Linked DNA regions of Saccharomyces cerevisiae S288C. Changing the gene in region 4 together with the main gene of any one other region gives a genetic interaction. Each region holds a gene or a part of one and is shown on either strand. Other genes may lie near its edges.

Region 1 (7,482 bases), on a different chromosome or scaffold from region 4:
AAATTCAAATGGCAAATATTTTCACAACACCCATACACTACACCAAAAATATTCCTACATCACTAATGCCATTAGCATTCCATAAACTACTAACCAACAACTAGAACAGAACTTGATCTATTGTGCTCATGGGTCGGAGAAGCTCGCCTTATCCGCATCGTTTCCTGGGTTAATAGAAAGGTTTTTTGAATTCTTAAACATGTAATATCTCAAAACTAACACTTAAACATTATGCCGAAGAGAACAGTCCCTAACCCATTTGTAGTAAGCAGCCTTACAGGATTCCAAGGATTCAGCCAGCCAAACTGACCCATTGCGTTTTCTACCAATCTTCTCTTGTTTAGTAACACAATCCGGGTCACCCTTCGGAACTTCGGAATTGGAGAGGCAAGTGCAAAGAAAAGTGTTAAACCTCGGAGCCAAATGATTGATGAGGTAGCCGAGAAGATAAGAGCAGCTTGTTTCCTGCGCCTGTGTACGGGAATCCTCATTTATATAATACTTGGTTCTGTTTAGCCACCACAAATAATGCTCAGAAATACGCTAAAATGTGCCCAATTGTCGTCTAAATACGGATTTAAAACTACCACACGTACATTCATGACTACTCAACCCCAGCTAAATGTCACCGACGCACCACCTGTGCTATTTACCGTTCAAGATACAGCTAGAGTTATCACGCTAAATAGGCCCAAAAAGCTCAATGCTTTGAACGCCGAAATGTCAGAATCCATGTTCAAGACTTTGAACGAGTATGCAAAGAGCGATACTACAAACTTAGTCATTTTAAAGTCATCCAACCGACCACGTTCGTTCTGTGCTGGTGGTGATGTAGCTACTGTGGCAATATTCAATTTTAACAAAGAATTTGCCAAGTCCATCAAATTTTTTACTGATGAATATTCTTTGAATTTTCAAATAGCAACTTACTTGAAACCAATTGTTACCTTCATGGACGGTATCACCATGGGTGGCGGCGTTGGTCTATCCATTCACACGCCCTTTAGAATTGCTACAGAAAACACCAAATGGGCCATGCCCGAGATGGACATTGGTTTTTTTCCAGATGTAGGCTCAACTTTTGCTCTCCCTAGAATCGTGACATTGGCTAACTCAAACTCACAAATGGCCCTGTATCTATGTCTTACAGGAGAAGTAGTCACAGGAGCAGACGCTTATATGCTCGGCTTAGCGTCTCATTACGTCAGTAGTGAAAATTTAGATGCTTTGCAGAAAAGATTAGGTGAAATTAGCCCCCCTTTTAATAACGATCCACAATCTGCATACTTCTTCGGGATGGTTAACGAATCCATCGACGAATTCGTATCACCATTACCAAAAGATTATGTTTTCAAGTATTCTAACGAGAAATTAAACGTTATTGAAGCCTGTTTTAACTTGTCTAAAAATGGTACTATTGAAGACATAATGAATAACTTACGTCAATATGAAGGTTCTGCGGAAGGTAAGGCTTTCGCACAAGAAATCAAAACGAAATTGTTAACCAAGTCACCATCCTCTCTTCAAATCGCCTTGAGATTGGTGCAAGAGAATTCCAGAGATCACATAGAATCTGCTATCAAAAGAGACTTATACACAGCAGCTAACATGTGCATGAACCAGGACTCTTTGGTGGAATTCTCTGAAGCCACAAAGCATAAACTTATTGATAAACAAAGGGTCCCGTATCCATGGACAAAGAAGGAACAGTTATTTGTATCTCAGTTGACATCTATCACATCTCCTAAACCATCGCTACCAATGTCATTACTAAGAAATACCTCGAATGTTACTTGGACTCAATATCCCTACCATTCTAAATACCAATTGCCTACAGAACAGGAAATCGCTGCGTATATTGAAAAGAGAACGAATGATGACACTGGCGCCAAAGTTACCGAAAGAGAAGTACTAAATCACTTTGCCAATGTGATTCCTTCTAGAAGAGGGAAACTGGGTATCCAATCGCTATGTAAAATTGTTTGTGAAAGAAAATGTGAAGAAGTTAACGATGGCTTAAGATGGAAATAAAACCTGAAATAGCAGCCCCGTGGCTCGTAAAGAATTTTGCCAACACTTCTATGCATGTAAATAATAAAAGTAAAACATAACGCTATATTTGTATATGGATGTTTATTTAATGATACATAGAAAACTGTCATTTTCTTTCTCTTTTCTTATAAGTATTTTTTTTTATAAAAGGCAAAAAAAAAAAAGTTTGAATGTAATAAATATGGTTCAGAAAGAAATTACAATAAATCAAAAGTTTTGAGTATCATTCAAGATTATTTGCATTTTTCCCTCATTTACAGGCTATTTTTTCAAGGCCTTTCTTCTGTTTCTAACACCTTCTGCCAATAGCTCCAATACCTGTTCGGTGGACTCCCAGCCAATACAAGCATCCGTAACAGAACAACCATACTTCAATCCCTCTCTGCCACCTTCTTTGGGAATATCTTGTCTACCTTCATTTATGTTGGACTCAATCATAACACCACAGAGACTATTCTCACCCTCCGTCAGCTGGTCATAAATACATTTGGCAACCTTTGGTTGGTTCTTGAAATCTTTATTACTGTTGCCGTGGGAACAATCGATCATAATTCTTTTCTGGGAATCATCAGTCAAACCGGCCTTTTCTAACTGTTTCTTAGTATTTTGAACACTTTCTTTGTCAAAGTTAGTACCGTTCTTACCACCTCTCAAGATCAGGAAGGTATCCTTGTTACCTTCAGTGCCCACGATAGCAGTGACACCTGGCTTTGTGACAGAAAGGAAGTAATGTTCATGTGCAGCGGCTCTCATAGCGTCGATGGCGACTTGCAAACCACCATCAGTACCGTTCTTAAATCCAATAGGGAAAGATAGACCGGATGCTAATTCTCTGTGCAGTTGGGATTCAGTAGTTCTGGCGCCGATGGCACCCAAGGAGAAACAATCACTCAAAAACTGCGGAGAAATGGTATCCAACATCTCACCAGCAATGGGTAATTTTTCAACCAGTTTTATGAACATTTCTCTCGAAATCCGTAGACCTTTATTGATTTGAAAAGAGTTATTCATATCAGGGTCGTTAATCAACCCTTTCCAGCCAACAGTAGTCCTTGGTTTTTCTAAATACGCTCTCATAATAATCAATAAGTCTTTTGACAACTTTTCTGAAATTTTAGCCAATCTGTCAGCGTAATCGTAAGCGGCTTTGGGGTCATGTAGGGAACATGGCCCGATCACGATAACTAAACGATCATCTTTACCATTCAAAATATCACAGACGGAGTCTCTTGCCTTGATAATGTTTTCCTCACCTTTGGCTGAAATTGGAAATTCATGTTGAAGCAGATCTGGAGGGGTTAATGGATCATAACCTTTGATTCTCCAGTCTTCCAAGCGTTTCCTGTCACCGGCGTGATCGTTTTTAATGAACATAATGCTATAAAGTGTTCTTGTAACGTAATAGGGGTAGTAGCTATAAATATAAATGAGAAATAGTGAAAATAAATATGTCGTTCGTATACAAGTAACAGGAAGAAAAAAAAGAAGAGAGAGAAAATGCAAACACTTATAAACACATGCATGTATTTAATGCAGCAAGCATACTTTCCGATGTGACTAATACTTGAGCAATGAAAAAATATAAAAAAGGAAAGTGAGGAAGCTTTTAAATATATGTCACTATGTACGCATAAATTTGAGAAGATACGCAGCTGCTTCTTTTTTTTCAGCGGCTAAATATGATGTTCTTTCCATACTAATTTTTAGCTGTCGATTAGAATTAAAAAACGTCACAACATAGGTTAATTAAACATAGACAACATAGGAAGTGACAACAGGTTCTACAGCAACCACCGGATTCTCTCCGAGGAGGAGGCTGTTGGACATAGACTGGTTGTTGTTGTGGGGCATAATGCATATTTTGATGATGCCTCATTTTGGTATTGCTAACTTAGACTTTTTTAGTTGACAATTAGGATTATTTTAATTCACAACATAACTGAGAAACATTTAAATACAGTTGAAAACTGGGAGGGGCGAGAGGGGAAGGAGAAAATGAAAAATCGAGCTTGTATAATTTTTAAATAGAAATTGCCCTTATTTCTTCGCCTTTTTCCTTTTTTCAGGGTATCGAAAAAAAATGCGAGGGGCTGTGCAATTCAAAGCCAAGAAAGAAAAATAAAACAAGAGGGTTAAAAAATAGAAAAGGTCCTACCCGGATTCGAACCGGGGTTGTCCGGATCAAAACCGAAAGTGATAACCACTACACTATAGGACCCTAAAATGGACGATTGGAACCTTCTTTCGTACCTTCTTGAACAAAGCATTTTGAGTAGAAAATTCATCAATCCTAAATTTGATATTGACTTAGGTTATGGTTTACTCTTCTTTACAGAAATACAAAAGGCATGCTGATTGTTGGAATAAAAATCCATTATCATCTATGATAATTGTGCGGATTCTGATGTAATTGTTGGGATTCCATTTTTAATAAGGCAATAATATTAGGTATGTAGATATACTAGAAGTTCTCCTCCAGGATATAGGAATCCCCATAATGGAATCTATATTTCTACATGCTAATATTACGATCATTCCTCATTCAGTTTTATATGTTTCATTATCCTATTACATTATCAATCCTTGCGTTTCAGTTTCCACTAATTTAGATGACTATTTCTCATCATTTGTGTCATCTTCTAACACCGTATATGATAATATACTAGTAACATAAATACTAGTTAGTAGATGATAGTTGGTTTTTATTCCAACAGTGTATCAACTAGTGGTCATACTATCAATATATTATCATATACGGTATTAGATGATGACAGAAGTTATGGAAAGCTTCGAAGTTAGAGGAAGCTGAAATGCAAGGATTGATAATGTAATAGGATAATGAAACATATAAAACGAAATGAGGAATAATCGTAACATTAGCATGTAGAAATATAGATTCCATTTTGAGGATTCCTAAATCCTCGATGAGAACTTCTAGTAAACCCTGTATACCTAATATTATAGCCTTTATTAACAATGGAATTCCAACAATTATCACAAAATTCACAGAATTTCCAGTTTAATATCAAGAATAGGTGGATAATACGGTAATCGTATGGCCGCCATTGTTATGAAAGACAGTTATTCCTAAGTATATTGAATATACCAGGGTCACTATCGAGAATGTAGAATTTCCCATAAGGAAAGCCATGAGTTCGTATAATATTATGATTGTCTCCTCTCTTCTTTTCTATATCATCATATGATTATTTCTATTGTGTTATTAGTTTTTACATTTCAGTCCTCAGTACTTTTGTGAGAGGAGCTAAAAAAAAAAAAAAAAAAAAAAACATTACTTGGAAAAGGGAGGCATAGGAAAAAAAAAATGTCTAATATCGAAGATTGAGGAAAAAAATAAGTTATTGAAGGATGCGAGGTTCGAACTCGCGCGGACAACCGTCCAACAGATCTTAAGTCTGCCGCCTTAGACCACTCGGCCAACCCTCCGTAAAATCACTTGCCTGTTTTCAGATTCTGTTCTTATTCGTTTAGGTAAGAAAGAATATTCAAGGGAGGATGACTTTCGAAGATTGTATTTTTCTTGTTGGAATAAAAATCAACTATCATCTACTAACTAGTATTTACGTTACTAGTATATTATCATATACGGTGTTAGAAGATGACGCAAATGATGAGAAATAGTCATCTAAATTAGTGGAAGCTGAAACGCAAGGATTGATAATGTAATAGGATCAATGAATATTAACATATAAAATGATGATAATAATATTTATAGAATTGTGTAGAATTGCAGATTCCCTTTTATGGATTCCTAAATCCTGGAGGAGAACTTCTAGTATATCTACATACCTAATATTATTGCCTTATTAAAAATGGAATCCCAACAATTATCTCAAAATTCACCCAATCTTCATGGTAGCGCCTATGCTTCGGTTACTTCTAAGGAAGTCCCATCAAATCAAGATCCGTTAGCCGTTTCAGCTTCCAATTTACCGGAATTTGATAGAGATTCCACTAAGGTTAATTCTCAACAAGAGACAACACCTGGGACATCAGCTGTTCCAGAGAACCATCATCATGTCTCTCCTCAACCTGCTTCAGTACCACCTCCACAGAATGGACAGTACCAACAGCACGGCATGATGACCCCAAACAAAGCTATGGCCTCTAACTGGGCACATTACCAACAACCATCTATGATGACGTGTTCACATTATCAAACGTCACCTGCGTATTATCAACCGGACCCACACTATCCGTTGCCACAGTATATCCCACCACTGAGTACTTCCTCACCTGATCCAATCGATTTAAAAAATCAACACTCTGAAATACCTCAAGCTAAGACAAAGGTGGGAAATAACGTCTTACCACCACACACTTTAACATCAGAAGAAAACTTTTCTACATGGGTTAAATTTTACATCAGATTTTTGAAGAACTCTAATCTCGGTGACATCATTCCAAATGACCAGGGTGAAATCAAAAGACAAATGACTTATGAAGAACATGCGTATATATACAATACCTTCCAAGCATTTGCCCCATTTCATTTATTGCCAACATGGGTAAAACAAATTTTAGAAATTAATTATGCTGACATCCTTACAGTCCTTTGTAAAAGTGTGTCCAAAATGCAAACTAACAATCAAGAATTAAAGGATTGGATAGCTCTTGCCAACCTTGAGTACGACGGAAGTACATCTGCTGATACATTTGAAATTACAGTCAGTACGATCATTCAGAGGCTAAAAGAAAACAATATCAATGTTAGCGACAGATTGGCCTGTCAACTAATACTTAAAGGTCTATCCGGTGACTTCAAATACCTACGTAATCAATATCGTACCAAAACGAACATGAAACTTTCCCAATTATTCGCTGAAATTCAATTAATATATGACGAAAATAAAATCATGAATCTAAATAAACCGTCCCAATACAAACAACACAGCGAATACAAAAATGTTTCTCGCACATCTCCAAACACGACTAACACAAAGGTTACAACTCGTAATTATCAGAGAACAAATAGTTCAAAACCAAGAGCAGCAAAAGCTCACAATATTGCTACATCTAGTAAATTCTCAAGGGTGAACAATGATCACATTAATGAATCAACCGTTTCATCACAATACTTAAGCGATGACAACGAACTTAGTCTTAGGCCAGCAACAGAAAGAATCTAAGCCAACACACACAATAGACTCGAATGACGAACTACCTGATCACCTTCTTATTGATTCAGGAGCTTCGCAAACGCTTGTCAGATCAGCCCATTATTTACACCATGCAACACCCAATTCTGAAATAAACATAGTCGATGCTCAAAAACAAGACATTCCTATAAATGCCATTGGTAATCTTCACTTCAACTTTCAGAACGGCACCAAAACATCAATAAAAGCACTACACACACCAAACATAGCCTATGATCTATTAAGTTTGAGTGAGCTGGCTAATCAAAAT
Region 2 (7,624 bases), on a different chromosome or scaffold from region 4:
AGAAATATGATATAATCATTTCTACCCCATTAAGACTAATCGATGTTGTGAAAAACGAAGCTCTCGATCTCTCCAAAGTTAAGCATTTGATATTTGATGAAGCTGATAAATTGTTTGACAAAACATTCGTTGAACAGAGTGACGATATTTTGAGCGCCTGTAGAGAGCCATCGTTGCGTAAAGCGATGTTTTCTGCGACCATTCCATCCAATGTAGAAGAGATTGCACAAAGTATAATGATGGATCCTGTTAGAGTTATTATTGGCCACAAGGAAGCAGCAAATACAAATATTGAACAAAAATTAATATTTTGTGGTAATGAAGAGGGTAAACTAATTGCTATTAGACAACTCGTTCAAGAGGGTGAGTTCAAGCCACCGATCATAATATTTTTAGAGTCTATTACAAGAGCAAAAGCGTTATATCATGAATTGATGTACGATAGGATTAACGTAGATGTGATTCATGCAGAAAGAACAGCCTTACAAAGAGACAGGATTATTGAACGATTTAAAACTGGTGAATTATGGTGTTTGATCTGTACCGACGTTTTAGCTCGTGGTATTGACTTCAAAGGTGTCAATCTGGTCATCAATTATGACGTTCCAGGATCGTCTCAGGCTTATGTTCACAGAATTGGTAGAACAGGTAGAGGTGGGCGGTCAGGTAAAGCTATCACATTCTATACTAAACAAGACTCAGTAGCTATTAAACCAATAATAAATGTCATGAAACAAAGTGGTTGTGAAGTATCTGAGTGGATGGATAAAATGGCTAAAATGACCAGAAAGGAGAAAGAAAGTATAAAAAACGGTAAAGCGCATAAAGAAAGAAAGCAGATTACTACTGTGCCTAAGATGGATAAGGCCAAAAGAAGACGTCAACAAGAAATGATTGCAGCATCCAAAAGAAGAAAAAATGAAGAACTTTCAAAAAAACATTTCTCGAAATAATATAAACAAACGTGCGTATGCAAGACATGTATATATGATTAGTAGTTTTTTTTATTTACTTTCATTGATCAATTACGTGACCAGCTATACATTTCTTCATTACTTCTTCTGGGCATTCTATTTAAATCGATATTTCCAAACGACTTTGTCATTGCTGCATAACCCTTTTGATAACTATCGTTTAACCCCACACCTCTGTAAGATTTCGATTCCACTCCATTATGTATATTTCTTCCAGAGTTAAAATGCTGCTTGTAATCTGAATTTTTTCTCTGGAATAGAAGTTCATTTTGATTTTCAAATGACATAAAAGGTTTTGTTTGATGTATATTGTTAGGGTGGAAAAAATAGGGTGTTCCACCAGTTATGGAGTTTTGTAGTTCTGCTTTTTCTCCCCAAAAATTTGATGTATTGGACGTGAAATCATAGGTTTCCTCGAAAGACTTTCCGTTTCTTTTCAATCCTAATGGGGGAGAAGGGCGGTTATCTATTGGCAAAAGTGGATTTCTAAAATCCCTAATGGAAGGTAAATTTTGACTTTCAGGTTGATTGGAGAATCTACGAACTGCTAGCTCTCTATTTAGCAAAGAGTTTTCTTGCATATGAAAGAAGTTTAAATCATTCAAAAGTTCCCCCAAAATTTTGAGCTCATATTCTTCATCCAAGTCAATATCTCTGTATTCCAAGAATTTCTTTTGCATTTGAACTGCGTCGTCAAAAAATGGAACACTTGACAAGCAAATGTCAATCTCTTTTTTAATGTATGTAAGCAAGTTGGTTTTTAGAAAACTCACCTCTAATTGTGTTTTGGTAAACGCTGTTGTGGCAGCTGAATACTCGGTTGGAGCTGAATTTGGCCTCTGTCCCTTGTATGGTGAAGTGGAAATATTCAATTCCATGACCGGTTCCTTTATTTCTTCTAATCCGCTTGTAAAATGAAAGGGCTGCATGTGTTTAGTTTTGTAACCTTCTGTATTACACCAAAAACTTTCCCAATTTTTAAATTGACACTCTTTCAAGCTTGGACTAGAGTCCGGAGCCAGTTTTAAGCCATCATTAAAATCGTCCGTGTGTTCAGATCTTTCGTGTATATCTTTATTTTCATGGAATATGTTGCTTGCAGTCCCCATTTTAGATGACTTTTCTTCATCTTTTTGGGACTTCTGTTTTACTGGACTATTTCTTTTACTTTCCTTACTAGTATTGCCATCTTCTTGAGAATCCATGTTAGGATACGCAGGCAAATCTGAATGGATGTTATTTGGAAAGTTTTCCTTTTCTAATCCATTTAAAAGAGTGCCAGCTCCCATCACTCAACCAATTCAGCTCTTTCCTTGCCAATACAACATAACCGGGAAGAGTTTCAAGTTTGACTTCCAACTAAATACCTAATGTTTTATTGTTGTTATTTATATTTCTTGTGACACAAAAGAGAACATTGATGTCATTTGAGCCTTATCGTTGGAAAGGATAAATAAGCGGTTTAAAAGGATAAAAGAAGCGCAAGCAACAAATCTCAACACAAGTGTAAACCATATGAATGGGGTTAAATGCCTTCTTCTTTGAGATATAAAAAGGAAGTAGAATTTAATATATTAGACATTTTTTTGATTTGAGCCTAAAAAAGATAGCCCTGTAGGGGGCTCGAACCCCTAACCTTATGATTAAGAGTCATACGCGCTACCGATTGCGCCAACAAGGCTATTTCGTTGAAAAATTCAGGCTTCAAAATTATTATATGTATCAAAAATATTTTTTTGAGAAATTTCAAATCATTATCTACGCTAGCCTTACTATTTTTTCACCCAGAAGATAGTAACCTCATCGCACATACCTATTGAAGCTGATAATATTTGAAGCGAGAGCTTTATTCTTCTCCTCAAATTTTTTTTTTCTTCTGCGCTGTTAACTTACCACTAAACCTGTTTCCATTTTTAATGGTAGTCCTGTTTATTATTCCATTTTTAGAATTGTATGTACCTTGGACGACATTTTTTGGCAATGACATCGAAAGCACTGTTTGATACCAAGATCTTAAAAGTTAACCCGCTATCAATCATTTTCTCCCCTGATGCGCATATAGATGGTTCCTTACCAACGATAACAGATCCTGAAACGGAAGCAGCGCTAGTTGAAGCGGCGAGGATAATAAGAGATACAGATGAGACTGTGGCTTTTCCAACCGAAACTGTTTATGGTCTTGGAGGTTCTGCTTTAAATGATAATTCAGTGCTTAGTATATACAGGGCCAAAAATAGGCCTAGTGACAATCCTTTGATTACACATGTTTCATCCATTGATCAACTTAACAGAAAGGTCTTTAATCAACCGCATCTATCAGGTACATCCTTGTTTGATAACATACCCTCAATCTATCGCCCATTAATTTCAAGCCTTTGGCCTGGCCCATTAACAATTCTTTTGCCAGTTCCATCTTCAGAGCATAGTGCATTATCAAAGTTAACGACCGCAGATCAGCCTACGTTTGCGGTACGCATACCCGCTAATCCAGTGGCTAGAGCACTGATTGCCCTGAGCGATACACCAATAGCTGCTCCTTCAGCGAATGCGTCTACTAGGCCATCTCCTACTTTAGCGTCTCATGTTTATCATGATCTAAAGGATAAAATTCCCATAATTCTTGATGGCGGAGCGTGCAAGGTTGGTGTAGAAAGTACTGTTGTTGATGGGTTATGTAATCCTCCTACGCTACTGCGACCTGGCGGTTTTACATATGAAGAAATTGTTAAATTGGGTGGTGAAGCTTGGTCTCTTTGTAAAGTTGAGAATAAGAAAACAGTTGAAAAGGGCGAAAAGGTAAGAACGCCTGGTATGAAGTATAGACACTATTCCCCTTCAGCTAAAGTTGTTTTACTAGTTCCTCATTGCGAAGGCGATGGCATTCTTAAGGGCGTTGATAGGATGGAAAGATTAAAGAGGTTAATCGAAACGGAATTAAAAGCCAACAGTAATATAAAAAAAATTGCGATTTTAACTTCCCTAAAATTACGTGATTCCGACTTACAATCTAAGATCTTTAATGAACCCGATTTTTCTTCGAAAACTTTCATCATCGAAAGACTTGGCCAATCTGGTGAAGAAATACAGACTAACTTGTTTGCAGCTTTAAGAAAAGTGGATGAAAATGATAAAGTAGACCTAATATTTGTCGAAGGTATAAATGAGGAAGGAGAAGGATTAGCTGTTATGAACAGATTGCGAAAGGCGGCTGCAAATAATTGTATACAGTTTTAAATAAAACTGTGATTAACTTTTGAAAATCATAACCACTGATTACGGAGATTTTATATCTAGTCCGGAAAAAGAAGGAAAGAATAAAATTTTATATTGCTTTGTATATACGAAAAGTCGCCCATACATGTTTATCTTAGTATCCGTTGTAAATATATGTACATATATACATCTACATATGTTCCCATTAATTAGTACATTTACCTCAATAGGGTTGGGCGTCCTCATGAAAGATAAAGGGAAGGAAGGAAAAACGATAAAAGCACAAAATGTGACATATCAAACATTTGAGAAATACGTTGAGTCTTCTTCATTCTTTTTCCTCGTCCACAATTTTCTCAATTCATCAACGATGAAAACGCTACTGCTGATGAGCAATAACAATAGTATATCAGAGATACCAAGTTTCTCAGTTTTAAAGATACTTTGGAAAAATGGTATATATATAGCGCACATTTGACCTAACAGAGACAGTCCAACGGCGTAGTTGAACATTTTGTTCGTGAAAAAGCCGATTTCGAAGATTGACTTTGTGTTATGTCTGCAGGCCAAAGCATTAAACATATCAAAAAAAACAAAACAAGTAAATGTCATAGTAGTATCTCTAGCAGTTACTTTACCATCTTCGGCCATCTCTTTAACAAAAATGTAAACTGTCCCAACGATGATACAGGCCGCGGTGGTTAGTAAACGTTTCATTACATCATGGGTCAAAATTTTATCGGTACGTTTTCTTGGAGGTTTTTTCATAACTTCATGATCAACAGGTTCCACACCTAAGGATTGAGCTGGTGGCCCATCCATTAAAATATTTATCCAAAGAATTTGCATTGCGTTCAGTGGATTGGGTAGTTTAAACGCTGTAGATAGTGCAACTAATGATAGTGCGGCAACAGAAGTAGACAATTGAAAAGTCAGGAAATTCTGAATATTATTAAAGATACCTTTACCCTCTTCAATGGCAGTTAAAATAGTACTGAAGTCATCATCAGTTAAGACCATATCTGAGGCTTCTTTGGCTACATCTGTACCAATTCTACCCATAGAAACACCAATATCTGAAAGTTTCAACGCAGGAGCGTCGTTAACACCATCACCAGTCATTGCTACCACATCACCCCTCTTTCTTAATGCACGAACAATGTTTAACTTATGCTCAGGCGTAGCACGAGCAAAAATATTAACGTGGTCGATGACATTGGCCAGTTGATCATCTGACATTTCATCTAATTTATCACCGGATAAAACGGAAAGCTTTGGATCAATAACTGGAATACCAATTTGTTTTGCAATGTTTACTGCGGTATTCTCAGAATCACCAGTGATCATAATAATATGGACACCACCTTGTAGTAATTGTTCGATGGCAAATTTAACGTTCGGTCTTGGTGGGTCATTCATACCGATTAAACCAGTAAAGGTTAAATCTTTGATTAGGTCTTCGGTTAGAGGAGTTGATGAATCAGACAAAGTTAGTTTAGCAAATCCAAAGACACGCAAACCTTCAGATGCCATAGAATTTGCGCACTCATTTATCGTAGCTTTTTGGGCTTCAGTCAACTTTTCAGTTTTTTTACCCTTTGATTTCAAATAACTTGTGGAGTACTCAAGAATTCTTTCAAATGCACCTTTAACATAAACTGTACACTTATTGTCGACAGGGTTGAGAATCTTGGTTGCCATTAATTTTCTTTTCGAGTTAAATGGAAGTTCCTGAACTTTTTGAACGGTGTTTCTGATATCAGGCATTTCAAAGTTTGCCAATTGCTCTAAAAGAGCTACATCAGTAGGATTTCCCAGAAATATGGCATGTTCTTGAGAGAAAGATGCATTATTACAGAGATTACCGATAGTTAGAGTTTCCCTAACGTCTTCAGTCAAATAGTTTTTCAAATTTCCATTAGAATTTTTAGTCTTCTTATTTTTGTCTAATGAGAGGACGTTTAGCTTATTGGACATACTGTCCAAGCACCAAAGTTTAGATACGGTCATGTGGTTTGAGGTTAGTGTACCTGTTTTGTCGGAGCAGATAACGTTGACAGAGCCTAAAGTTTCGACACTTGGTAACCTTCTCACGATGGCTTTACGCTTGGCCATTCTCAGAACACCCAATGCCAAAGTAACAGTGACAATAATTGGTAACCCTTCTGGAATAGCAGCAACCGCTAAGGATACCGATATTTGGAACATTTCTAACCAAGATCTACCTTGTATGATACCAACTAAACAAATCATACCAATAACTATGAAGCTAACCAGTGACAAGTCCTTTCCCAATTTGTCCATTGTTAACTGCAATGGAGTCTTCGGTTTTTCAATATTATTCATCATTTCAAAAACGGCACCAAAGGATGTGTTTGTACCTGTTCCTACGACGATACCCTTACCATGACCTTCCTTGACTAATGTACCCATATAAGCTATACAAGATCTCTCAGAAATCGGTACAATTGAATTAGGCTGATCGTTAAAGGAAGATTTTTCGATCGTTTGTGAGGTTTTATGTACCGGTTCATTTTCACCAGTTAAATTACTTTCATCGATGGATAAATCGATTGCTTCAATAATTCTAATGTCTGCGGGGATTCTGTCACCTATTCTGAAGTGCACTAAATCACCAGGAACCAAGGTGGAAGCCAGTACATGACTCTCTTGACCACATCTCATTAAGTGACATTCAGCAGGAACCAATTTATTCAACGCTTCTAGAGATTTTTCAGACCTATATTCTTGGACAAAACCGACAGTGACAACTATGAAAATGGCCAGTGTGATACTAACAGCATCATCAATGTTACCCATAAAAAGAGAGACCACTGCGGATCCTATTAAAAGTAGAATCATTCGATCCTCAATGAAATTTGACAAGAACTTCTTGAAAAGACTTTCATCATCTTCTACGGTTATTTCATTGGGGCCATAAAGTGATCTCCTATTGTTGGCCTCGTTAGATGATCGTAAACCACCGTTTTTGTCAGTGTCCAGTTTTTCTAGAGCTTCGTCCACGGATAAAGTACAATACTCTAAAGAAGGGCTTGGTTTCGAAAGGGCCTCTGCTGTGGCATCTAGTATTTCTCTCTCACGGTTTGAGTCCTCGTCAAGAAGACTCGCATTAAATGGATTGTCACTCATAATTATCTTATCTTTTACTTACACTTAAGCTTACGTCTGTGCTGGCCTTGCTTCGTCTTGTCTTGCCCAGTCGTAAGGATATTATTATAGTTACTAGTATTGTTATAAATGGGAATGGAAAGAACGGGGCGAGCAAACACTATTATGATGGTGTAGAAAAAGAGGTTTTTCTATTAAGTGCTTGAAGGAAGGGCTATAGTGTACGATGGCCTAGGGAACAAGATCTCGATATAACGATAGGTAGGGTCCACACTGTTAACAAAAAAAGTACTTCTTTAAATAGAGAA
Region 3 (7,844 bases), on a different chromosome or scaffold from region 4:
CCAGCACTAATGGGTTACAATAGTTTGGTTAACACGAGAGCTGCCACCTATAAAGTGGTCATAGAGACCTTGAAACATTTACCAGATACCAAACTGGACGCAGTTTTTGGGCTAATCCCGCTTTTCCTTCTTTATGTTTGGAAATGGTGGTGCGGAACATATGGACCAAGGTTGAACGATAGATACAACTCCAAAAACCCAAGGTTACACAAAATTATCAAATGGACATATTTTTACGCTCAGGCTTCCAGAAATGGTATCATTATTATTGTATTCACTTGTATTGGTTGGGCAATCACAAGAGGCAAATCTAAATCGGAGAGGCCCATCAGCATCCTAGGCTCAGTTCCATCCGGTTTGAAAGAAGTCGGGGTTTTCCATGTTCCACCAGGATTAATGTCTAAGCTTGGTCCAAATTTGCCTGCATCCATTATTGTGTTATTGTTGGAGCATATCGCTATTTCGAAGTCTTTTGGTAGAATCAACGACTATAAAGTCGTCCCCGACCAAGAATTGATTGCTATTGGTGTCTCGAACCTTTTAGGTACTTTCTTCAATGCTTACCCAGCGACTGGTTCCTTTTCAAGGTCTGCTTTGAAGGCTAAATGTAATGTCCGTACGCCGTTATCTGGTTTGTTTTCGGGTTCATGTGTTCTTTTAGCATTATATTGTTTGACCGGCGCATTCTTTTACATTCCAAAGGCTACCTTATCTGCAGTTATCATTCACGCTGTATCTGATCTTTTGGCCTCTTATCAAACTACCTGGAATTTCTGGAAGATGAATCCATTGGACTTCATCTGTTTCATTGTCACCGTCCTAATAACGGTATTTGCCTCTATTGAAGATGGTATTTATTTTGCCATGTGCTGGTCATGTGCAATGCTCATTTTAAAAGTGGCTTTCCCAGCGGGAAAATTCTTGGGTCGTGTGGAAGTCGCTGAAGTTACTGATGCTTACGTCAGACCGGACTCCGATGTGGTTAGCTACGTGTCTGAAAATAACAATGGTATTTCCACTTTAGAAGATGGTGGTGAGGATGACAAGGAAAGTTCCACCAAATACGTCACAAATTCCTCCAAGAAAATAGAAACAAACGTTCAAACAAAGGGCTTTGATTCTCCATCTTCTTCGATTAGCCAGCCAAGGATAAAATACCATACTAAATGGATACCGTTTGATCATAAATACACAAGAGAATTGAACCCGGACGTTCAGATTCTCCCCCCACCAGACGGTGTTCTTGTTTATAGGCTATCAGAGAGCTACACCTATCTCAACTGTTCCAGACACTACAACATCATAACCGAAGAAGTTAAAAAAGTTACCAGACGTGGTCAATTAATTCGCCACAGAAAAAAATCTGACCGTCCATGGAATGATCCTGGTCCATGGGAAGCACCTGCTTTCTTAAAGAATTTGAAATTCTGGAAGAAAAGGGAGAACGACCCTGAATCCATGGAAAACGCGCCCAGCACCTCAGTCGATGTTGAAAGAGATGACAGGCCATTGCTGAAAATACTATGCTTAGACTTCTCACAAGTGGCACAGACAGACGCTACGGCTCTTCAATCATTGGTTGATTTGAGAAAGGCCATAAATCAATATGCAGATAGGCAAGTTGAATTCCACTTTGTGGGTATCATTTCACCATGGGTGAAGAGAGGTTTAATTAGCAGAGGATTTGGTACTCTGAACGAAGAATACAGTGATGAATCCATTGTTGCCGGTCATACAAGTTATCACGTCGCCAGAGTACCTCAAGGCGAAGAAAATCCTGAAAAATATAGCGTTTATACCGCTTCAGGAACAAATCTACCTTTCTTCCATATCGATATCCCAGATTTTGCTAAATGGGATATCTAGCCAATGCATTTACAATGGACATGCAAACATTTATATCATCTCTTTTTTTCTATATTCCTAAACCAAAAAGTTTTCCCCCTTAAAAGTATACATTTAATATCATAATGAGATAGACACTGTTTATATAATAAGAAATAATAGGTAGGATGGTGCCATCGTGAGCATATACATACCTATAAATATTTACCTTATTTTTATTTTATTTTTCTCTTCCTCTCAGGAACAAAAGAAATACAACCGTTATTAATGTTATTGTCGTGGGACAGCTCCCCTTTTTTTTTATTTACTTACCACAGATAGAAAAACATGAAAGCAGCACTTACAAATAGTATAATAGTGAAAGTTAATAACGTAATATTTTTGACCTTCTGCCACCACATTATTTCTTTTATATTGACCGCTTTGCGCCTAAATTTATTACTGCTGCTATTTAGTTGGGAAGTTTTATCCACCAATAAAGAAACTCTTTCTTGTCTCTCCAAGAACTTGTCGATGTTATCGTTCATTATCTGGATGACGTCCTTTATTTGGTCTTCGGTGGCATCCCCGATGTCACTTATAGTGTTCTGACCATTCCCATTACTAGATTGGCCATTTCCAGAACTATTTAAAGTTTGGTTACGGTATTCGACCAGCTCTTCATGGAAAGAGTCTAGTATTTGACCTACATGCGAACTTAAAAGTTCGTTTGTAGCGTTGGACTCGTATTCCTGCAGCCCACTTAGTATCCTGATGGGCAAAATCTTGGGCATATCTACTAATGTGAAGCAAACGTACACAGTTTTGGGGTCATGGTCATCCGTGGAGTAGAAACAATCGAATCCGTCGATGAGATTCATTGACATCTTGGTAACTTTGTTCCCCTTGATCGGAACTACTTTGGGTAATACCATATCCATGATCAAATTATGGAAAATGACCGGCGTTATCTGCTCGTTTGCTGAAGTTATTGTACCATAGTTTTCGTTTTTCTGGAACGGCTGGAAACAACTAGATATTGTTTCACCATTTTTTATAACTTCCACATAACTTACTAAGACCATATGCAAAATCAAGCAAAATGGAACGTTAGTCTACTGAATGTAACATAGTAAAATTATGGCATGGGGGGATGAGCATTCGCATAATCCCTTTTTTAAACATTTGTTAATTGTGTAGAAATATTTATACATACCATTAAAGCGTTTCATTTGGTAAAAATATAAAAGTCCAATGCTCTAACAGCTTAATAAATTGTCGCTTTTCACTCTGTTCTTCAAATTTAATAGCTGTTGCTCCAACTTAGTCAAGTGCTAGAAAATTCATAGAGGGGCTTTTTTTCATCATTATTGTGACCTCATTTTTTCTTTCTTCGATCGTTTGAGGCGAATATTACCCGGGCGCTTGGTGGTAATGCGTTGTTTTAAATATTATATATAATGAATGTGGTGGTAGAATATATAGTTTACTATTTTTAGATAATGCAAATGGGTGGGGTGAAGGCGATGAAAAGGTGGGGGGTCTATCAGAGAAACCTGCTGTCACACCAGCCCTTTACGACATATTGAATCTCTCTCGTAGGTGCGGAAGTCTTATTGGTGACTTTGCCTAAATTTAGTTTTCCGCATGGTTTGAGCATTGTGCCGCCATTGTTGAACCATGGCTTGACGTCTGAGTGTACGCGGACCAAAGAACTTTTCAAATCCGCCGTTGCATGTTCGCTTGCGGATTCACGGCCTTGCGAAGGTTCCGTATTGCTTGTCGTTGCAACAAAGTGCAAATTCCAGGGGGTAGAATCGCCAAAAAGATCATTTCTTGTTTCATGGACCATGTCAGACCATAATTTTTTCCTAGTAATTAGGGCAAGCTTAATATCGTTCGTAGAGACATTTGGCTCCTTTTTGATTTCCAAAGACCGAATTTCGGAATACGTTAGCTGCTTCAACAGATGGTCATCTACTTCGACTTCGGGTAAAATACTCTTCCTTTTACATGATGTTTCAATAGAGTATAACTTTAGGAAATTGGTATTCAAACTTTTTTGTCTTATTCTTTTATTGGGCAAGAGCTCGCTAGATGCAATCGAACCGTCGGTCTCGGGCGATGGTGATGCAGATGGCCATTGTTCTAATTCTACCAGGTCATTTTCGTAAATCATGTTTTCTGTAGTCGATTTGCTCCTACTCTTCCTTCTTGAAGTCTTGCCGCCTTTCTTGTCGATGATTTGGAAGTCCACAGAGGTCGGACGAAGTTTGGCATCGGACGACGCAGAAACCAGTGAAAGGGCAGAGGACGATCGCGGACGCCGTTCGTATACGGGAGGAAAGATATCGACTAAATCCTTAACCTCCCAGTCGTCGAACAAATCGAGATCATTTATGTTTATTATTTTCATTTTGGGCACGACCGGCTCAGCCAGTACCTCATCGCCAATCGCGGGGGTCTGCAAATCGACAGCGTCAGCAATATCATCTGTCAAGGGATGAAGTTTAGAGGAGCTCAATGAAGAACAGTCGCTTTGAGCTTCCTCGGAGAACTTCCTCTTTATGCTCTGTGTTAAGTGGCCCTCATGTATGGGGCATTCGCCCGATAACGTCTTGGCGGAATTTGTTTTCCTAACTTGCGACATGACCGAGCTTAAGGACGGGGTCATCAAAGATGAGCGATTTTCGTTCAGCAGTTCGGAATCGTCTCGAGCCTTCAGTATTCTAGTCCTCTTGAAGCTATTCCTCTTGGTTAGTGTTCTAGTACGTTCAGCGCTTCCTTGACCATCGAACTGCGGCTTAGTGGAGTGGAAATAAATCTCATCGCTCACCGTCCTATTACTTGTGGCGGTCTTGTTCATGCTGGCGCTGGCTAACTTGTTATTCTTCTTATTAGTAGCGGTAGCGTAAAATGACTTGGGATAAAATACCTTTGATGAGTCGCTCCATGAGTGCAATGCGCCATCATCACGTATGCTTTTGATGAGGCAATGTTCATGCACATGAGCATCGTGCATTAGTGTGTGATTTGTGTTCACGTCCAGCAGCATTCTATAATTATGTCTTGTTGAAAGTGTTCTGTATGTTCGTGTCTATCCAAAGAAACAAGTAATTGAGAAAACTAGCCATCAAATACTTGTGAAGAAGCGAGTTTCCATTCTCTGTTTCACTCGTTTGGCGTTCTCACCATCCCACTTTTATTTCATTGGCTTTTTTAACACAATAAGGCGCCTTCAGCACCTTTGCCGCGCATTAAGGATGGCCACTGACGAAAAACCGGATAAAAAAAGACGAAAAAATGCCGTCTGACCCTAGTCAGGAGCCGCCTCATACACCCTAATTATTTTGGCGCTAAGCCCTAAGCATCATTATTACCCGACATGAAGCGACAGAAGCCCTACGGATGTGCGGCTGGAAAAGAAAGTTTCATGAAGAACCAGTTGATATATATTTTACTATATACTTTTGCTGTGTATTTCTATATGAGGCTAGTTGGTTGGTGGGAACTGGAAGTGAAAGTTCTGTTCTTTAGGGTGCAGCGGTTGCTGTTGCTGTTGCTGTTGCTGTTGCTGCTGTGGTTGGATTGATGCTTGTGATGTTTGTGGTGCCTGTGGTGCTTGTGGTACAGTTTTGCTGCCAGTTTGCTGCGAGTATGTAATTATGGGGTGAGCGGCATTTACATTAGGTGCTGGATTGATGGCTGGATTTGTTTTTTCGTAAGCGGCGATACTAGGCGTTGTGCTACTTGACATGTTTGCAAATGCATTATTAAACACTGGAGGTGAGACAGACTCGGTTAGTTCCCTTTTCTTTGCAAGCTCTTCGAGCCTTTTCTTTTCTTCCTTCATTTTTTTTCTTCTTTCACGGTCTTCCTGTTGTTTTCTTTGTTTGGCCCTTATTATTTTCAATTCAGGCACAAAAATGTTGCGCAGCTCAAGTTCCAAGTCCCTGATGCACCAAGCGCAGATAAAAGTGGAGCATTCAGACAGCGGTTTGCGTTTATCAGTAGGTCTTGAAGACTTGGTGCTGGGTTCAAGTGTGGATTGGGGTCTGCGAGAAGACCTTCTATTGCCGTGCGAATTTCCCATTATGATGACGCCAAAATCACGTTGCGACAGCGTGTGCTGTGGGGATTTTGTGGTTGAAGATATAAGCTCTATAATTTTTGGAGGTTGGCATTCCCAATGCTGCCACCTGTAACAATGATCACAGCATATCAATGGGCGGTTATTGAAGAGGTCAGTCTCCGTGTCTTCGGTGATAATCATGGGCGCCAGCTCTGGTTCGCCCGGACATTGGAAAACAGAATCTTGGTTGTCGGGCTCTTGCTGCGGAGTAAAGATCCCGTAGTTGGCAAGCTCATCTAGCTCTTCCTTTGTTATGCAGAAGTCACTAGGCAATTCAGGGACGTCTCCCGTCTGTAGTGGCCCAACAGTTCCAGGAATTGGTGGTTCCACCGGGATTATACTAGATTGAAAGTTAGGGCCGTGATCAAGAACTCCGATATCGATTTCATTTAAGGGATTGTCCTCCTCCCTGCCCAAAGACGTTTCAAAAAACGGTGTACCAGAACCACTTCTATCTTTGAGCTCGTTACGCCTGGTCAATTTTTCATCTCTATAATCTTGATCGTACAATTGCCACAATTGGTTCCAAAGAAGATCTTTTATCTTTTTGATTTCCTTCGACACTAGCTTGTTTCTGTGCCTTATAAATTGTTCTCTTTCATCTAGTTTTTCAAACCACTCACTTTCCAAGTCTTTTTTCTTGTTTTCTTCCTCTTTCGCTACCAGTCTCGAAGATCTTTTCCTCCTTGTCATTAGCTCCGCAATTGCTCTCTCCTTTTCTCTGTTGGCCAAAAGTTTTGCCGAATATAGTCTATGTTCGGCATACACCGGTATTAAGTTAGTTATGAACTCATCTATGGCTTTCGAACTTTTATTCTCTGACCAGTATTCTAGCATGGACCCCCAATTAGTTGTAATCACATCATAATCAATTGTAATCGATTGAAGATATGCATCGATATCGTGAGAGTACTCGAGATGAATAAGCTCCACTGAATCAGGAATGTCTGGGTCGCTTTCTTTTATAGTACAGTTCTGTAGTTTTATTGGGATATTCAGAGTTTGAGAGACTTGGGAGGAAGAGCCTTCTTTTACTCTGTGAATGGTTTTCTTTACGAGTACACCAACATTGGGTAAGGCAAACAAGCTCTTCATTTCCTCCCCTCCACTATTATCATCATCCAGTATAACTTCACTAAACGTAAACAGATGCAAGTTATTCGCTAAGTAGTTTTTGAAGATCATATTTTTCATTTCAATTAATTTTATGATACTGTAAATGATGTCGAATTGGCGTGCAATTTCAAGCTCCAAAAAAGGTAAGTCCGTAACCAAATCTGAATACGCGCTCGAGTTTTGCAAGTGATGGTTAACTATAACATTCCAATCTTTCAATTGCCCGCTTTTATTTCCCGCTAATTGATGCAATAATTGCAATCTAATTCTGTCGTACAAATTTTGCGATCCTTCATCTACGTCGACTTCATCATTGTAATAGTTCGAGTCCTTCCCGTCTATCTTCGAAAATACGTCAGTTACAAATACACCTTCATCGAATTTGATATTCTTCCACAAGCATTTGGTAGAGCTACCGCCATACTGGTCAGTATTAAATGTCGTTGTAGTATATGATTCGCAGACATTGGAAAGCCAAGCCATCACATACTGGAAGTGCCAGTGATTGGCCAAGTCCGCGATCTTCTCATCTAATATTTCAGAATACGGCAGCTGGTGCTTGTTCAATTGGGCTATTATGTCTTCGGAGACATATTCTTTCCAGTCTTCACTATCCGCATTCGCAGCGCCGGCAGGCATGCTCGCTCCTACATTTCTTGTACCCCTAGTTCTCTTCGTTCTCATCGATCGCTGATTCACCGCTTTGTATCTATATATGATTAGCCAGTGTGTATGAGTAAAATAGAGCAATTGATCTAGTTTCTTAGTCGTG
Region 4 (10,441 bases):
AGCTGCGGCCCATTTGGGGAAAAAAGGAAAAGGAGCATCCTCGATCTTACAGATGTCGCTTTTTCCTCTTGAGGTCATTCCCTAACCTTGGATCCAAGTCAATCTGGTATCTTCCCACCCTAAATAGTGTATTCCCCATGTAATAAGATCGGACGATAAACTTCGAAACAATTCTAGCCTTTTTTATTAGATATTTACTCTACTTTAGATTTGGTGATTTTACTAAATGTTATCCTTCAGCCACTACAGCCTACTTTTTCTCACTAATATGTTCTTGAAGCCATTTTCTTCACCGGGCTTTGCCGAAGGTTATTTCACGATCTTCGGCATTCGCCGAAAATTTTTCAAGATGCCCATCACCAAAAAATAAAAAAAGCTTTATATATGGCATGGCATACGCATCGGGAACCGGTATTCTTCTCTTGGATTACACAGTTTGGACTACTAGACGTTTCAAATAGATATACACAATTACTCAAAAAAAAATTGAACTTCCGTACCAAACATGACAGCCAGTTTAACTACCAAGTTCTTGAACAATACCTATGAAAACCCATTTATGAATGCATCCGGTGTTCATTGCATGACTACACAAGAATTAGATGAATTAGCAAACTCTAAAGCTGGCGCATTCATTACAAAGAGTGCTACAACCTTAGAAAGAGAAGGTAACCCTGAACCACGTTACATTTCTGTCCCTCTAGGCAGTATCAACTCCATGGGTTTACCAAACGAAGGTATCGACTACTATTTGTCCTATGTATTAAACCGTCAAAAGAATTATCCTGATGCACCTGCTATTTTCTTCTCAGTTGCTGGTATGAGCATTGATGAAAATTTAAATTTGTTGAGGAAAATCCAAGATAGCGAATTCAACGGTATTACCGAGTTAAACTTGTCTTGTCCTAATGTGCCTGGGAAACCACAAGTTGCTTATGACTTTGACTTGACAAAGGAAACCTTGGAAAAGGTTTTTGCCTTTTTCAAAAAACCTCTTGGTGTCAAGTTGCCTCCTTATTTTGATTTTGCCCATTTTGATATCATGGCAAAAATATTGAACGAGTTCCCATTAGCTTATGTCAACTCTATCAATAGTATAGGAAATGGTCTTTTCATTGATGTGGAGAAGGAGAGTGTAGTAGTGAAGCCAAAGAATGGTTTCGGGGGTATTGGAGGTGAATATGTTAAGCCAACCGCGCTCGCCAATGTTCGTGCATTTTACACTCGTTTGAGACCTGAAATCAAAGTTATCGGTACAGGTGGAATTAAGTCCGGTAAGGATGCATTTGAACATCTTCTATGTGGTGCCTCTATGCTACAGATTGGTACAGAATTACAAAAAGAGGGCGTCAAGATTTTTGAACGTATCGAAAAAGAATTAAAAGACATAATGGAAGCTAAGGGTTATACATCCATAGATCAGTTCCGTGGGAAGTTGAACAGCATTTAATTATCGGAATTTGAAGAACTATGATGGGACAAGTTATGGAAGAGTGTTAAGATTCGTATGAATATTTTATTATTTTGAAATTGCATAAATCAAGGATAGTTGGTAAATGCTAATTCCTTAATTTTTCGGTGAGTGCATTCGCAATTGGCATCATACATTAGGGTTCAATGTGCTTTAATAGATGATGATACTAAATACTTATACTTTGAAATAACTTAATCAATGTAAATTATTGTCTTGATTCATTTATACTTAAATTTTTATATCTCAACATATGATATATCCTTACATTAAGACTTATTCAAGAAACATTTTTCAACGATAATTATTAGTAGGCTAAAAATGGCATAGGAACCAGAAAATAATGTTGAAGAAATGAAGCCATCTGTTTAATATTTGGGGAAAAAAGTGAAGAAATTAACGAATATGTGCATATATATATATATATATATATATATATATATTGCACAGGTGATTTTGATGTAGAATGTAGCCTTTTCGAAAGAGTAATTTGGTTTTATCTACAGAGTTCCGAAACATTGTTAAGTGCCTGTTCTTATATAATTAAACTGTACTTTCTGTAAAAGTCAATTTGTGGCTGGCGCATCCACGGTATACCAATGGTTCCGTGTAATTCGATATTGACTAAGAACCAAAAAGAAATGCTTTAATCCTTGTATTGTCCAAATCCCCCACCACCAGGGGTTTTAATGATGAATCGATCACCGGGTTGAGCGTAAATCGTATTTTTACCGCCGACATTGATTAATGCGCCTGTGCTATGTCTTACCCATAAATTCTCACCTCTACTACCGTCTTGTCCTCCCTTTATACCATGAGGGCCAATGACACGACGTTCTGATAATATAGATGCTGTTACAGCCTTCCGAAATTGAACATCCCTTACTACGCCATTTCCGCCAGTATATTTACCTTTGCCTCCTGAACCTCTTCTGATCGAGAACTCTTTCAACAGAACGGGGTATCTCCTTTCAAATACCTCAGTATCTGTCATTCTTGTATTGGTCATATTCGTGTGTACAGCGTCTGAGCCATTCCAACCACTTCCTCTCCATGAATCTGCACCAGCCCCCGAGCCGCCACATATGGTTTCATAATATCCAAAGCCTTTGATCTGCTTATCGGTTTTGTTACCAGAATTTCCTCCAGTTCCAAATGTAAAGTTGTTACAGTCACCTTGAGAATCTGCCATGACGTTAAATGTTTTTAAGATTACATCTGTCACTCTTTGGGAAGTTAATACATTGCCTCCGACAACAGCAGCACCGGATCGGGGGCTCAAGAGGGAACCAGCAGGAATTTTTATTGTTAAGGGTTTTAAACAACCTTGATTTAAAGGAATATCTTCGCCTACTAGACACCGTAGACAATAAAGAATCGCAGAATTAGTAATAGCCTCTGGTGCATTTAAATTACCATAAACTTGGGGAGAAGTGCCATCGAAATTAAAAATATACTCCTCTTTTTCAGGTCTTATGATAACTTGTAGTTTAATTAAGCTTCCATCATCTAAGCGATCTTCGCCAGAAAACTTCGTTGTGCCAAAATGTTCAACCATTTTTGCAAGCATTTTTTTTATGGATTCAGATGCATTTGTCTGAATTGCAGCCATGTATTTCAATATTGTAGCCAGATCATATTCCTTAGTTAATGACCCAATTAACTGTATCCCTTTTGTGTTAGCTGCGACTTGCGCTTTTAAATCGCTTATGTTATCACTAAATCTTCTTGAACCTGAGCAGCCTGGGTATTTGCCTGGATCTTCTACGAAAAGCTTGTAAATTAATTCTTCCTGGAAAATTCCCTCTTTGACAACCAATTCGGAATAAATTGCGGTTCCTTCTTCGTACAATTCTTTGGAATTTGGAGGCACTGAACCGGGTAGAATACCTCCAATATCTGCATGATGGGCTCTTGAAGCCACATAAAATATCAATTCGCCAGTTGAAGAGAAAGAAGGAGTTATTACTGTTATGTCTGGTAAATGAGTACCACCAATATCCGGATGGTTTGTGATTAAAACATCACCAGGCTTTAATTTGCCTTCCCATAACTTCGCCTGTGCTGATATGCAGGTTGACATTGATCCTAAGTGAACAGGTACATGAGGAGCGTTAGCGACTAAGTTTCCTTTAGAGTCGAATAGTGCACATGAAAAATCTAATCTCTCTTTGACGTTAGTTGAAACAGAAGTTTTCCTCAATTGAGTACCCATCTGGAGGGCGATATCCATAAACCTATGACTGAAAATAGACAATAAGATTGGATCTATATCAAGTTCATATCCGCTTTTAGATAATGTCTTCGCAGCCTTTTGGTTGATCTTGATAAATATATGAGAGTTTAAAATTGTTGCTTGGCTGTTTGGTAAAATAATATTTGTTTGGGTACCGTCAGCCAATATGGCTGGGCCCTCGATAATTGTTCCGGCAGGAAGATCATCAATTTTGAAGACCGCAGTGTCGACCCATTTGTTGTCAAAATATGCTTTCTGGGTAAAACTAGCATCCTTTGACACGTCGGCTTTCTTGAAATGGGAAATTTCAATCAATTGCTCATCAACCGTTTTTTCTTTTCTAACGCCTGATTTCCCAATTGCTCTTATCCTTATATCATCAATTATAATTCGTTTGTCATCGAATGAGAATCCGAACTCTTTTTTATGAGCTTCAGAGAACCATTCCCTAAAATTCCATTGGTCATCATATTTTTGTAATATCATCAAACTGGTTTCAGTACCTTCATATCTGAGATTTAAATATCTTTCCAAGACTATGTCCTCCCGAGAAAACGACTGAGATAAAAGGTTTTTGATTGAATTTTTAGAAAGTTCTAAGAATCTTTTTTTCACTTTCAAGATGGTCTCTGGCTCACCCAAGATAAAAGAGCAAGGCTCTTGGTTTTCTTCAATAACATCTGCTAAGAAAATGCCATAAGCGGACAAGATAGAAGAATATCTATGAATTAAAACAGTGTCAATGCCCAATGAATCTGCAACCGCTATGGCGTGTTGCCCGCCAGCCCCGCCAAAGGAAACTAACCGATGCTGAGATACTACATGTCCTTTTGCTTCTGTAATGGCCCTCACAGGTCTTGCCATGCATTCGTTAGCTACTTTGATAAATCCATAGGCAACCTCTTCCATGGTTAGATTTGAATTCAGATCCTTATTGATGACATCTGTTAATTCTCTGAATTTCAAAGTAGTGGTTTCTAAGTCAAGTGATTCATCCTCATTGGGCCCAAAAATTTTGGGGAAGAACTCAGGAACCAAACGTCCTAAAAAGAGGTTGGCGTCTGTAATGGTCAAAGGCCCGCCCTTTCTGTAGGCTGCAGGGCCTGGATCAGCAGCTGCTGAATCAGGGCCTACTCTGAATAACCCGTTTTTCCATGACAAAATAGAACTTCCTCCAGCAGCAACAGTATGGATGTCAAGTTGAGGAGATTGTATGATGATCCCTGCGGTAACAGTTTCAAAAACATGTTCTAACCTCCCATCGCCGTACCTACTGACATCAGTAGATGTTCCTCCCATGTCAAAGCCTATTAAGGGTATGTTATTATTTTTATCATAGCATGTACTAGAATAACCTATTACGCCACCTGCAGGACCAGATAAAATAGATTTCAAACCGGAAAATTTTCCCCCATCCACTAAACCACCATCAGACTGCATGAATTGAATGTGGGTATCTTCTGCGTGGCTCAAACCTGCAGAAATGCTATTCAAGTACTTTTTAATTACCGGAGTAAGGTAGGCATCTGCGACAGAACTGTGAGCCCTCGGTAAAAATTTTATCATTGGAGAGACTTCAGATGATAATGAAACATGAGAAAACCCAATCTCCCTGGCAATATTACCAACAATTCGCTCATGGTCTGGAAAAGTGTATGAGTGTAAAAATGCTATCGCAATAGACTTGATTCCGCTAGCATAAAGCACTTTCAGAATAGATCTTACGCTTGATTCATCTGGCTTCTTTATGACCCTTACCATTTCGCCACTATTACCTTCCAGGATACCTTCTTGTTCATTAGGAGACGATTTGGTAAAATAAGGGTCTTCCGAGAAATCTTCTAAAGTAACTCTCTCATCTATTTCAACTACAGTGTCATATAATGGCACTACCTTTTTTATATTTAAGTTGAAGATATCTGGCCTGGTTTGGTCTCCAATCAGCAATGAATCCTTAAAGCCTTTCGTAGTAATGAAGGCACAACGTTCACCATTTCTTTCTAGAGCGCAGTTTGTAGCTAGGGTTGTCCCCATTCTTAAACTTCTCACATTAGAGATGTCTAGAGGAATACCGCGAGGAATTGTCTTGTGTTCAAGCACCTCCAAGAGACGTCTTATGCCTTCAAGGGGAGCATCTGGATAGTTTTTGGGATCCACCGACAAGAGCTTGATGACAGTATCATGTTCTTGTTTACCTGTACCAATATTCCCCACACAATCAGTGAAAGTTCCACCCTTATCGATGGCAATTCTTATGTTTCCTTTCTGCATTGTATACCAAGAAGTTATATTTAGGTTTTCAATGCTCAAAATTATTACTGTTTAAGTTCAGTTCTTAGTTTTTGGCATTCTTTCTTCAACACCACGTAACATTTGATCTTATCTTTCTTTTCAGTGGTAATGTTATGGCGATCGTGCTCAATCGGAAAAGCACCTGAGGCAAACAAAACAATTGTTGAAGTATTCATGCAAATAATACTGAATAGAGCGGAGTACGCTTGTTCTTAATTCCAGAGATTGGTAAAGTGTTTATCATTGCTACCCTCTAGAAATAAAAATTAATTATTTAGGTAAAAAGTAGTACTGAGGTTTCATATCTGTAGACTGATGGAGTAAAAAAACATTGAAAAGACTATAAAGAAATTATAAGTAGATACACAATTGCTTAACCTTTCATGTAAGCATCTAATTCAGCGTCAAGAGCTTCGACAGAAGTAGGAGTGTTATTCTTCTCACGGCCCTTGTTCTTTTTGGAGACTCTGTTAGGCTTTTGGCGATAATGGCTCCCTGGCCTGCCTCTTCCGTGTTCTTGAGCCGTCTGTTTGCGACGGTTGTGGGCATTCATTCTAGAATGCTTTCTCTGTGGTTGGTAAATCTCCACTTCAATTTTTGCATTATGTAACTCATGTCCATTATAACGCTCGACAATCTTTTCCAAAACTTCTGGGTCTTCAAATTCGTAAATACATGTACGATCCTCTTTATTGTCAAAAATTTTCGAAAATATTGGCGAGCCAAACTCTTTAATCATATCATCGAGGGTGTAGTCAGAAACGTCTAGTGGGATTTTGGATATTCTAATTCTCTTAGGCAAAGGAGGCTCTTCCCTCTCTCTATAAAGGCGATCTTTCGACCTTGATGCAGCATCCGAAGGCGCAAATCCCAGTCTAGGTCCTAATTCATTTCTTAAATCCCTTCTGCGGTATCTCGTTACCTTATGATTAGATGAGCTGTCTGTGTGACTATTTCCAATAATTTCGTCAAATGCTTTGTCCATTGCAAAATGCAGTATTGAATCGTCTAATGGAAAAGGTACTAGACGCTTATCGTTTCAGTTTTTTAGTCTTTTCCATCTATTTATCAGTCTGTACTCAAAATAACCTTATTGTATGTAACCTTTTTCATTTCACGATGATAATTTCTTGCCGAGTTAGACAGAAAATGACCGTGATAGTTTGTCATAATTTTCAATAGGGCAGAAAGAATTTTAAAGATTATTTGCTATCTAGACATTATGTGTTTTATATGATTGCTGTAAAAGTATTAGGAGAGATCGTCGAAAATATCCTTAAACCTTGGCACGTTCCCATAGCTCCTTTTGATGTTTGCAAGCCAAGTTACGGAGTTGGCAAATTGTCTTAATGTAGGTTCAACAGTAGCCAAATTTCCGTAAGCTACGGTTAGCCTATATGCGGCTTCTTCGCATTCTTGATACTCTTCCAATGGCCCATACTTGGTGTTGATGGCGTCAGCTACGATAGGCAAAAGTTCTAAATCAGAGTTCCCTTTCGTGACGAGAGCTGAATAGTTGAAAATTAGTGTGGAAACTGCAATAGCCAAATTCTGTGACTGTTTAGCAGATGCCTGAGAAAATTCAGTATCTATAGTCTCAAAAATTGATTTATAAACTTGATTTGATTCCAGTAATTTCACACCCCAGTTTTCATTATTGAAGCAATTTACCAAAATACGCACAGTTAACATGGTTAGAGTGATATTCTTATTGCCCAAGCCTTCTTCGATGTAATCTTTTATATCTGAAGAATAAGGTAATTTTTTTACAATCAATCGTACTATGTCGTATGCAGGAGTCTTAATTTCCCAGTTAGATCTTATAGTGTTAGCAAATGAAAGTAGCAACTCCCAGCTTTCATCTATGTCATGTAGTGCGCCACCAATTTGCGCCAGAATTTCATCATCAAAGGTCTTCTCATTTGAATTTATTTTTACTATTCCATTGAAAATAGTATCTGGGTTATAATTTTCCATGATAAGATACTGCTTGACAGGAAGAACCTTCATTACGCTCGTTTTTGAAGGTGATACTGCAGAAGATGATGCATTATCGTTGGGCTGGTCTAGCGATATGCCATTAGTGTTCTTCAGTATGAACTGTACTACTTGATCCCTATAACTCATTGGCAGTTCATAACGAGCCAAAAAATTGTCGGCTGCTGTATATGGGTTGTCGCTGACATTAATCGGCAATTTCAAGGGAGGTTTTCCATCTTCAATATCCACATCAAATACGTAGTCATACGTTTTACCCTCGAATTCTATTTTTTTGTCGTTTCCAGTAGCACCTGCACCGACAACATCACCAACCTTTTTCCATGAAGAATTTGAAAATTGATGAGCTTCTATAGTACCTTGAGGTGATTTGACTACCACAATTTGACCCTCTTTGCGCCCCGGCGATTGTAAAATTTCATAAGGTGATAGTTTAGACTCATCAAATTCTATTGTCTTGGAACTTATAGTGGATTTTTCCACTTGCGTAGATAGTTCATTTATTTCATCCTCGGAAGCCCATCTTGACTTCTCTTGCGAAAATATTCTCACAAGATTATCACTACTTCCCACAATAATATCACCATTAGACATACAATCAACGGACCAAATAGAGATGGCAGGAAGTGTAATTACCTGCTTTAACGAACCATTTTCCTTTGACCATATACGGACTGTTCGGTCTTCGCCGCAGCTTACAATATCTCCATTGGGCAGCAGTTTAATGCAATAAACAAAGCTTTCATGGCCTTCATATGTTCTTAGTACGTCACCTGTATGCATATCAACCAACTTGATGAGGCCATCGTTTGAACAACTGATAAAATGGCCATCATCCACCACAGCTAAATGTCTTACTACATCATTGTGAATCCCACTGAAAGTTTTGATCACTTTATCGTTTTGCCACAGTTTAATCGTCTTATCGGCGGAAGCTGTCAAGAATTTATTTTCTGAGAAGGATACGACTTTGGCATCCCATACAGAGGCATTGTGTGCTTGCAAATTGTAAACCAACGATCCTTCTTTCCAAACCTTTGCGGTTTTGTCCCAACTACCGCTTATCACAACACCATCTTGGAAGGATAAACTACAAACGTTCCCTTGGTGGCCAATCAAGGTATACAAGGGATCCTCTCCTGAGGTGGCAAACAAGGGCACACCGTTGATCATAGTATCCTTACCTCCAAAAAGCAACAACTCCTTCTCGGAATCATAACACACACTATTTAAAAATCCTTGTCCTGTATAAACTACCGTACCGAGCCATTGGTCATCTTTAGACCACAAGCGAACTGTTCCATCCCTCGAAACACTAGCAACCTTTGAATCATCCACAGCTACCACATCCCTGACGTCCTGATCGTGCCCTTTAAGTGTTGCACTCAATTGATATCCCATACTCCAAATCTGCTGCTCTACACCTTACTATCACACATGAATATATATATATAAAATAAGCCAAGACAGTGGCCTTCCCTTATTATCAGCGTACTAAAATCTCATATGATTTATTTTTCGTGGTCCTGAACGAGTGTGAAAAATTTTGAAAAACTCGCAAAGGAAATGCCAAGGTCAGCAACTTTCTCGACGTCCAAGCCTCGCTCCTATTGTTTTAGTAACCTGTAGACCTTCAATATTCAAGAGCTTGCACACGCACGCATTGCTGCACTACTGCTTACCCACACTACAAATTTAATTCCAGCTTATTGAAGTTGAAAAGGCAAGGGAAAAATACCACAGGTTTAGATAAGGAAATAGGAGAAAGGATTAGAAACCATATCCCTATAACAGTAACGATAATATTTATATACACGTATATTTTCTCGTCTAGATATGACAGGTCCAATAGTGTACGTTCAAAATGCGGACGGTATCTTCTTCAAGCTTGCTGAGGGCAAAGGAACTAACGATGCTGTTATTCACTTGGCCAATCAAGATCAAGGTGTTCGGGTCCTTGGAGCAGAGGAATTTCCTGTGCAAGGTGAAGTAGTAAAGATTGCGTCCTTGATGGGGTTCATTAAGCTAAAGTTGAACAGGTATGCCATTATCGCAAATACTGTGGAAGAGACCGGTAGATTCAATGGCCACGTTTTCTATAGAGTGTTGCAACATTCTATCGTATCTACCAAGTTTAACTCGAGAATCGATTCTGAAGAAGCCGAATATATCAAGCTACTGGAGTTGCATTTGAAAAATTCCACCTTTTATTTTTCATACACATATGATTTAACAAATTCCTTACAAAGAAATGAAAAGGTTGGTCCTGCAGCCTCCTGGAAAACCGCTGATGAACGATTCTTTTGGAACCATTACTTAACTGAAGATTTGAGAAACTTTGCTCATCAAGATCCTAGAATTGACTCCTTTATACAACCTGTTATCTATGGGTATGCCAAGACAGTGGACGCCGTTTTGAATGCCACCCCTATCGTTCTTGGTTT

What was found.
Region 1: mutations in OXP1 (region 4) and ARO3 together harm fitness more than expected from each alone (negative genetic interaction), as found in Saccharomyces cerevisiae (one large-scale study listed by BioGRID).
Region 2: mutations in OXP1 (region 4) and SPO74 together harm fitness more than expected from each alone (negative genetic interaction), as found in Saccharomyces cerevisiae (one large-scale study listed by BioGRID).
Region 3: mutations in OXP1 (region 4) and GIS3 together harm fitness more than expected from each alone (negative genetic interaction), as found in Saccharomyces cerevisiae (one large-scale study listed by BioGRID).

What each region holds. Positions count from the first base shown.
Region 1 is NC_001136.10:517,760-525,241, reverse strand, and holds ARO3 (3-deoxy-7-phosphoheptulonate synthase ARO3), read right to left. Parts: upstream 3,427-7,482; coding exon 2,314-3,426; downstream 1-2,313. Other genes in the region: mitochondrial 37S ribosomal protein mS47 EHD3, read left to right, coding at 529-2,031; cysteine-rich palmitoylated domain-containing protein CPP3, read right to left, coding at 3,773-3,928; YDR034C-A (uncharacterized protein), read left to right, coding at 4,550-4,726; YDR034C-C (gag protein), read left to right, coding at 5,886-7,202. UniProt on the Saccharomyces cerevisiae protein: Stereospecific condensation of phosphoenolpyruvate (PEP) and D-erythrose-4-phosphate (E4P) giving rise to 3-deoxy-D-arabino-heptulosonate-7-phosphate (DAHP).
Region 2 is NC_001139.9:183,132-190,755, forward strand, and holds SPO74 (Spo74p), read right to left. Parts: upstream 2,264-7,624; coding exon 1,022-2,263; downstream 1-1,021. Other genes in the region: RNA-dependent ATPase ROK1, read left to right, coding at 1-953; SUA5 (threonylcarbamoyladenylate synthase), read left to right, coding at 2,928-4,208; HUR1 (Hur1p), read left to right, coding at 4,333-4,665; Ca(2+)/Mn(2+)-transporting P-type ATPase PMR1, read right to left, coding at 4,485-7,337. UniProt on the Saccharomyces cerevisiae protein: Involved in the pathway that organizes the shaping and sizing of the prospore membrane (PSM) during sporulation. Probable component of a core structural unit of the scaffold that initiates synthesis of the prospore membrane.
Region 3 is NC_001144.5:324,360-332,203, forward strand, and holds GIS3 (Gis3p), read right to left. Parts: upstream 4,880-7,844; coding exon 3,371-4,879; downstream 1-3,370. Other genes in the region: SUL2 (sulfate permease), read left to right, coding at 1-1,866; NYV1 (Nyv1p), read right to left, coding at 2,154-2,899, 3,041-3,056; IOC2 (Ioc2p), read right to left, coding at 5,318-7,756.
Region 4 is NC_001143.9:24,710-35,150, forward strand, and holds OXP1 (5-oxoprolinase), read right to left. Parts: upstream 5,979-10,441; coding exon 2,118-5,978; downstream 1-2,117. Other genes in the region: URA1 (dihydroorotate dehydrogenase), read left to right, coding at 506-1,450; YRA2 (Yra2p), read right to left, coding at 6,373-6,984; DOA1 (Doa1p), read right to left, coding at 7,251-9,398; phosphatidylinositol-3-phosphatase SAC1, read left to right, coding at 9,834-10,441. UniProt on the Saccharomyces cerevisiae protein: Catalyzes the cleavage of 5-oxo-L-proline to form L-glutamate coupled to the hydrolysis of ATP to ADP and inorganic phosphate.